Oryzias latipes: one gene and its partner. The protein of the gene in region 1 interacts with the protein of each later gene in a pairwise test. Links are inferred from orthologs where the notes say so. Each region holds a gene or a part of one and is shown on either strand. Other genes may lie near its edges.

Region 1 (3,925 bases):
CATCAGTTCCACTTTGCTTATGACTTATGAATTATTGAAAGAAATGATGAATTTCTCTCTCAGACATTAATCACTACAGTTCAACAGCATGAGTCACTATTCTGAAAGACATCTGGATGCAACTTGTTATCTCGCAGTTCTGTCACGGCAACCATGCATAGCGTAGCGCTGCGGCGTGTCGCACAAGTCAGAAGAGTTAATAATTAAAGGATAATAAGTTTGACAGAACACTTTCCATTGTCTGATTTTGATGCTGTATTGAAACTTTAAAAATTAACAGATTCAGATGACTTCATAAAACAAAATGACAAGAACTGAAAGTTTGGATGAAGATAAAAGTGTTTGGCAGCAAAAATTTAAGGAGTTGAATACGAAAGAACAATAATAAGGAATATTTACACTTGAAATTGTACAAAACCTACTTTTATTTTACAAATTTGTTTTATTTTGCTGCTAAATTTGACTGATTGATTCTTGGTATTTACTTTTCCTTTTTAGTTCTGAAATTGTACTTACTACATATACAAATACCTGTGTTTCTGCATTGTTACTTGTAAAAAAAAAAAGCAATAAATCTAAATCTATTCTAAATCTAATCTAAATATGATGGTTATCATATATGAAAACTAATGCAAAAGTCCAGTGACAGGGTCATTTCTAAGAATATGTCATTTGAAAAGGATTTTTTCTATCAGATAAGCAGTGAAAGGGCGGACTGCCTTTTGTTGGAGTCCCTCTTTAAGTGGGGGGGGGCTCCAGAACAGGCAGTGCCGTTCATGGAGTTGATCATTCACTTTCTTGCTCAACAATACAACTAGTAATTGTGCAAAAACGTCAATCAAGTTAATAAATCACAGTTGCTCTATTAGAAATGGAAAAGTTCTACTTATGCAATTCTGATTAAAATATCATTTAGGACCTTTAACTTCAGTTTCTTCATTCAGTTACTTTTTTGTGCCTAAAATATCTTAATTGTATTACTTCATGTTGCTCAAAATTGGAGTAGAAGCCAGGGGGAATGTGGAGCAAAGGGCTGTTTGGAGCTGTCTCCTGCCTTCCTGTATGTTGTCAGTGATCCACGCTCACATTCGTAAGGCGCAAAATTGCACAAAATTGTCATTTAAGGCAAATTTCAGCTAAAAAACGCTTCCCTCTGCTCCTGGAAAGTTCTGACTGGGAGCTCTCTCTCAGTGGGGAGTTTCATTTAGAAACGCCGGTACGAAAGGACATTTTATCTTTGGGTACAGCTATTTAAAGACTCTGTTTTGCTATTCACAAAAGTCCAAAGACCGGAGAGAGTGCTGCACAGGGAGGTGCTGGGAGAAAGCTGGAGGACGGAGAGGGGAGAAGGGAGGGTGAGGAAGCAGAGGGAGGGATGGGAGAGACCGGCCTTTTGGGTTTCTCATTAGTTCAGCGTGGTTCTCCCTTTCAGTTTTTTTTTTTTTTTCTTTAAACGCCCGCCCACCAACCATTATCAGCACCGGCCTTATATATGCAGCCTGATGCTGTTGTTTACGATTACACACACTTTGCAGCTCAAACCGTCACACAGCCACCACCATGAGGGAGTTCAAGAGCAAAGATTTTTGGAGGGCCGTTCTAGCCGAACTGGTCGGCATGGCCTTCTTTATTTTTCTCAGCATCTCTGCAGCCATTGGAAACTCCAACAACGCCAACCCAGACCAGGAGGTGAAGGTGTCGCTGACCTTTGGATTAGCCATCGCCACTCTGGCCCAGAGCTTAGGCCACATCAGTGGAGCCCACCTGAATCCCGCCGTCACCCTTGGCATGCTTGCCAGCTGCCAGATCAGCGTCTTCAAGGCAGTCATGTACATAGTGGCTCAGATGCTGGGTTCAGCCCTCGCCAGCGGCATCGTTTACGGGACGCGTCCTTCCAACACCAGCGCCCTAGGGCTCAACTCTGTGAGTAAAACTTTTTATATCCCCTTTTCTTGACAGCAGAATTTGTTTACCTAAATAGGATGCACGACAGCATGGAGAGGTCGCCATCCTTTAAACGCACACCTGTCCACGTTGCATTTTAAGGACAGTGCATTTAAATGCAACGTGGAGAGGTGTGCAGGTAAAGGACGGCCCCTATAGACAGAACCACCGTTTTTTGTTTGGCAAAAAAAATCTATTAAAAACTTGTAGCTTCAGTGATTTTATGACTCTACTACTGCAATAATATGATAGCATCAAGATGTCAGCATAAAGCCAGTGAAGGGAAACTTTCCATTCTTTCCATTCCAATGTCTGAATTTTGTCCCCCCCCCCTAAAAACCCACAGCTTAACGGTGTCACCCCCAGCCAAGGAGTGGGCATTGAGCTTCTGGCCACCTTCCAGCTGGTGCTGTGTGTCATTGCAGTCACTGATAAAAGGAGGCGTGACGTCATGGGCTCTGCACCCCTGGCCATTGGCCTCTCAGTTTGCCTGGGACATTTGGCAGCTGTAAGTTACACCATCCCCAAAAATGTTTGTTCAAGATTGACCCCAGTGGATTTTAGTGTGGTCCACCAGGTGAATAAACCGCCTTTCATTGCTCCAGAATGACTTCATGTCTTTTTTTTTTTTTGTGATCATAGATCAGCTACACAGGCTGTGGCATCAATCCCGCCCGCTCCTTTGGCCCAGCTTTGATCCTGAACGATTTTACGGACCACTGGGTAAGTTGGAGGGAGAATGAGCCCCAGCAGACCTCAGACAGCTGAATGTGGGCTATTTAGCAAACCCAAGTAACTCACTACACACATAAGTTAATCAGTGTTTGTGGCATTTCTGTGACACAGTAAGGACTTGAACGTTACAAAGTCAGTGCAAAAGCTGATATGAGTTATCTGTCCTAGGTGTACTGGGTGGGCCCGATGTGTGGTGGTGTAGCGGCGGCTCTGGTGTACGATTTCCTGCTGTCCCCCAAGTTTGATGACTTCCCTGATCGCATGAAGGTCCTAGTCAGCGGTCCAGTGGGAGACTACGATGTAAATGGAGGAAACGAGTCTGCGACTGTGGAGATGTCTTCAAAGTAGCTGCAGTTGTTTTTTCCCCCCACGTCCTTGTAAATGTCTATACTAAAAAAAAAATCAATATGTACAAATTTAAAATTCAAAAGCTTTGAAATTTAGTGCAGAGTTTTAACGTTGTTTTGAAAAAAACCAAGGAGGATTGTCGTCTACGGGTCAGCTAGAGAGGCTGTCTAAAGTCACTCCTTTTATCAACGCAGCACAAGCTCTTTATCAAACCGCTGCTGAAGTTTGAAACCCCGGGCGGGACGTTTGCTGATCCTTTTTCTCCATATCAGTATTGTATGTTGAAGCCTATTTTGTATATTACCTGTTTCACTTATTCTTATTCCTGATGGATATTATATTGTGTGCACTCTTTTGTCTAAAGTTTTTTACGTAAAATAAAACACAATGTGAGAATTTGTTGTTGTCGTTTCATTTATTATTCAAATTTTCTTTAATGTTTTTTGTAATACTATGAATTCATCCCAAACACAAAAACTGCATGACATAACATGCAAAAAGTTACCAACAACCTGATAGAGTTCCTAGAAACACACAACTCTCAGCTGTAAGTTTATGATCTGTCAGATTAGATTATGCACGAGTGATTATGAAAATAAAACACAGCCAAAGAAATGATCCGCCTTACTCACGACTGCCCTTACGGACGGATACGGGCCTGCACAAAATTTGAGTGAACCTGTAGAGTGAAATAAAAAATGTTAATGAACATTCTTTTAGAGAACACTTATGCAACACGTAAGGGTGAAATAGGTGGGAAGCAGGTGAACGCTAAGGACTGCACAGGGAACCTTGTTGGTGCAATAGATAAGTGCGTGCTCCTTGCTCCTTGTCTAATCAGGAAATTAGACAGATTGTAGTTCATGTGGACATCTTACAGGGGTCCCACGGGCACGTA
Region 2 (4,288 bases), on another chromosome or scaffold:
CGTTGTTCATGTTTTGGTCTTAGAAGGTGGTCTGGTTTAGGAAGTCTCATAATTCAATGTGTTGCTCAATTTTACCCCACCAAACCATGAATATAGCTTAGACAGGGCAAACGTATTTGATAAGCAAGACTTCATACTCACAACAGCAGGGATTTGTGCAGCTCCCCAGGACTCCTGTGACAGATCAAAGGTTAACCTCTGATAACAGCTGGAGGCGGAGACTAAAGCTTGGTCTGTCATGCCAGTCAGGCAGGAGCATCAAAATAGGCATTACCCCCGATGATTAAGCTGGGTATGCAGTAGAAGATGAGCTGTGGATCATTGAAATGCAACTCCCTCAAAGATGTTGGAGGATCAATGAATACAAGTTCACAGTGATCTAAAGATAGTGTCTGTCAGCAGACATGAGTGGACTTCATAGTTCATCGAAAAATGAACTTTGCTGATGGCTTTGACTTGTACACATACTGAAGAATTATTCAGTCAGTTTAATTTGAGAGATTACATTTTTAGTAGCGTTTCAAAATGTCCTTACCTCCATGGGTGCGATATTTTATAGGAGTACAACCAAATCAAATTAGCATTGTGAAAAGGGATATTTATCAACAAAATTAAATGTAGATTGATATTTAATCTAATGATGAAATTGCGTCAATGTCTTTATAAACCAGAAATACTCTCACACGGTTCTTTATTTCTTTCTTCTTGGTGTTTGGCGCCCCCTTCTGTGCATATTCATTGATTCACCTACACAATATTTAAAATAAAATAATAAAAAAACAATTTAAAAAAGGTCAGAAATGTATGTCTGTTTTAATTATTCTTTTTGCATTCATTTTTATTTGGTTATTATTTTCCTGAGTCATAGTTGTGCCCATTAACATCAGTGGAAATGTTTTTCCATCCTAGTAATTTAATTTAATTAAAATGATTTTTAAAGAAGCCACATAGACTTTAACTTGATTGATTTTATAAAAAAAAATTATTATTTTTACTTGTCTCCTTTACTTTAAGTTCTATATGACATATAGTTCCATTTCAAATACAATCACACTTTGAAACTGCACTTTCATCTGGCAAATAGAAAAGAATTATAATTTGAAGTTGTAATTAATAGTGATTTAATTCTAATTTTAATATATATTAGCTTTGAACATCTTAAAAAAGAGAAACTAGTGCAACAAACACCATTTTATATTGAACTTTTTGTCATTGTCGTTTGTAACGTGAAATTAGTTATTAATCATCTGTATTTCTTAATAATAAGCTACATTTTTAAAGTTGCTAGGTTTGAGTAAATGTTTAAAAATATTAAGAATGTAATTAGGATTTTTACTATGAATCATAATTCAAATCAGTTGCAGTTTGTAATAGGCTAATGATGAAAACCTGTGTCTGACATTGTTGTGTGTTAAAAGTTACAACTCTATATGCATGAATGAACGTGGAGCTCCGCGCATGCGCCCTGCTGACTGTGTCCGCGAGGGCAGCGAGCTCGCTTCCTCTCTCCCCGCCGTTTTTAGCTGTCTCTCTGCCACACTCTCTATGGGAAAAACCCAAGCAGGGGGGAGATCAGCAGAAGGGGGAGGAGGAGTACTCCTTCCGACACAGCGGCGGAGGTAGGCTACTCCGAAAACATATATTAAAATATTTATCGGGAGGGGGGGAAAGAAAAAACAAAACAAAACAACGCACCGGTGCGGAGCGGCATTGGACCGACAATCTCCACACGGATGTGCCTCCGAAAGCGCAGCGGATACCGCCCTCCGGACCCCATTAATGCGAAGATTGTGAGTATCCGCCGGGCTGCAGGGCAGGCGGGGAGGGGAGGGGAGGGCTCGCTGCTTTCGGCTTCGTGCCGGGGGCTCCCGTCAGCGGAGCGGAGGGGCTTTTCTCCGCTCCGCGGCGCGGAGGGAAAGGTCGCTCCTCGCTTCCCCCTCCCTTTTCCTTCCCTCTCCTCGTTCCCTTCCCCATCCGTTCCGTGCTTCCCGTCCTCACCTACCGCCTGCTTCCTTCACGCCGGCCAGGAAACAAGCGGCGAGGCTCGCTGGTGAAGAAGGAGGCACTGACGGCCTTTGGCTTTGCCGCCGTCTGTCTCTTACCACACTCAGCTGCTTAAGTTAAGAGGAAAAAGGAACAACTGGGGAAGTTTTCTCACCATGTGCAGCTTTATCCTGTCTTTTCTGAGCAGCCATGCTTAGTTAATTAGTTTTAGAGAAAACTGCTGCTTATATTTATGGGAACAGCAAAGTTTTTAGGTACATTTTTAAAGATGATTGTTGAACATGCATTGATGGCAGCTTCATTTTTAATCAAAACAATGAATTTGTCTGAAAGGACGGAGGAAAAAAGTCTTTTTTTGGGTGGAGTCAGATAAACAGCCCAGTTTTAAACATGATCCTGGGTTTTCCACTGATGCTGAACTCATTTAAAACTTAGTGTAGGATCAGGGTTGTCTGTCACTTTAGTGCCTCCAGTGAAGCAGCAATGCAAACAGACCAAACCAATGACGATAGTTTGGTTCATTTGGGCTTTTTTTTTATTGAAGTTTGACTGGCGATCTGTCCGGGGCGAACCCCGCCTTCACCCAACTCTAGATAGGATAGGCTCCAGCAGCGGCGCCCCACACACAGGTTTAACGTCAGACAATATATTTTACTAGGTGGACGTGGGCCTCCACTTTTTTTGGTTTCTTCCAGTTTTCCTTAACGTTTGAGGGTAAAGTTTAGCTTCATCCTCTGTAAAATATCTGCAGCTGCTTTAAACTTTCTTTGTACGCTACATTTATTTTAGGAACAATGGGATTTAGATTTTCCCTCAACTCCTAGCTGTCAAAGTAGAACTAAACACTTTTAAGTTGTAAACCCCCCCCCCCAAAAAAAAGGCTGGTCACCAAATCTGGTATTTTAAAAAATATACATATAAACAAATCTACCGTTTGATCCACTTTATTAGCAGCGTTTCTCCAAACTTTAGACAGCCGGTTGCTGAATATTATGCATTATCATTATGGTGTGTGATAGCAACTGTTGCCATAAATCCATATTTGGAGTATTTGTATTTGTCTGTTGAATGATGCAGCTTTTTTAAAGGTCAAAATCCCTTTTTCTGTGAAAAAGGCATTTGTTTCCTTAACTTTTCTAGCTTGGAGGTTTCAGTTTAGCAGTCGGTGCAGTCCCTTTAAGAAAGTAGCAGAGGTATTTTCCACACGTGACCGAGCGACTTGACATGCGTCAAGAGTGAGTCAGATTTGGTGGAAAGCATTGGCTAGTTTTCCAAAGTAAAACTTCAGAACCAGATTATATTTTATAGTTTATTATTCCCATTGCTTTGACTGAATGAAGGTCTTTACAGACATCCTACCTTTCTGCTAAGAAGATGGATAGAACATCTGCAGTGCAGTCCTAAATCTGAAGACGTAGCGCTGGTTGATAATCTGCAGGACTAGTCTTGTCATGCAAGAGTTTGTCGTATGCGACCAAGACATTAACCAGGACGTCTCATAATTCACATGAGGCTCACTGCAGACCTTCTAGTTGTCAAGCTCTCAGGGCATTGTGTGACAATGACACCAAAATATAAGACAGACGTTTTTTTTTTTTTGCAGCTTCTCAACGATATCTCTCCAAAAAATTGTCAGACCATTCCGTGGTTTTTTTGAAGAAGTGTTGTGCAAGTGTTTATAGTTCCTCACTGCTCATTTTTCATACATGCCCAGTGCCAGTAGAACAGTCTCTTCTGGCTTGGGAAATCGCTACTCTGCCCCTCAGCTCATCTCAACAGTTGAATCACACTCATAAAGACTTTTGTTCAACTTGAGTTATGCATCAGAAATGAGTTGTGAAACTTAATTTTGTGGGCTGTTAGACAAAAAAATAATGTCAGCAATTTTTATTTTTTTTTGCTGTGTGCCATAAGTAATTGTTAATGGCTGACGAAGTATGCCTTATCACTTTTTAGCGCACGCCGTGGAAGCCTGAACCCTTCAACAAGAAGCGGAGGGCATTTCATACTTCGAAGGCCATTAACCCGCTTTATACCATGGTCACTTACAAAAGAAATAAATACTAACCAGTTTTTAATTTCTCCGATTTGGATAGCTTTTTTCACCGAAAGCGGACTATTTGTTCTGTGGTGCGGCGCCTTGTCATGGTAACCACCGATTGCAATCAAGATTCAGCGATACAAAGTGATATATATATATATATATATATATATATGAAAAAAAAAACGCCCCTCTCACCCTCCGCGGGTGGTTTCTCCTCCAAGCTCGGGTCCTCTACCAGAG

What was found. The genes of interacting proteins can lie anywhere in the genome.
Region 2: the proteins of aqp1 (region 1) and regulator of G-protein signaling 17 interact in binary tests that used the Homo sapiens proteins (3 or more experiments, as listed by UniProt). The two-hybrid records come from large-scale screens. The link is inferred for Oryzias latipes from reciprocal best matches to the Homo sapiens genes AQP1 and RGS17.

What each region holds. Positions count from the first base shown.
Region 1 is NC_019875.2:28,339,603-28,343,527, forward strand, and holds aqp1 (aquaporin-1), read left to right. Parts: upstream 1-1,498; 5' UTR 1,499-1,560; coding exon 1,561-1,923; intron 1,924-2,290; coding exon 2,291-2,452; intron 2,453-2,586; coding exon 2,587-2,667; intron 2,668-2,847; coding exon 2,848-3,027; 3' UTR 3,028-3,423; downstream 3,424-3,925. UniProt on the Homo sapiens protein: Forms a water channel that facilitates the transport of water across cell membranes, playing a crucial role in water homeostasis in various tissues.
Region 2 is NC_019865.2:27,368,502-27,372,789, reverse strand, and holds the start of regulator of G-protein signaling 17, read left to right. Parts: upstream 1-1,485; 5' UTR 1,486-1,733; coding exon 1,734-1,790; intron 1,791-4,288. UniProt on the Homo sapiens protein: Regulates G protein-coupled receptor signaling cascades, including signaling via muscarinic acetylcholine receptor CHRM2 and dopamine receptor DRD2.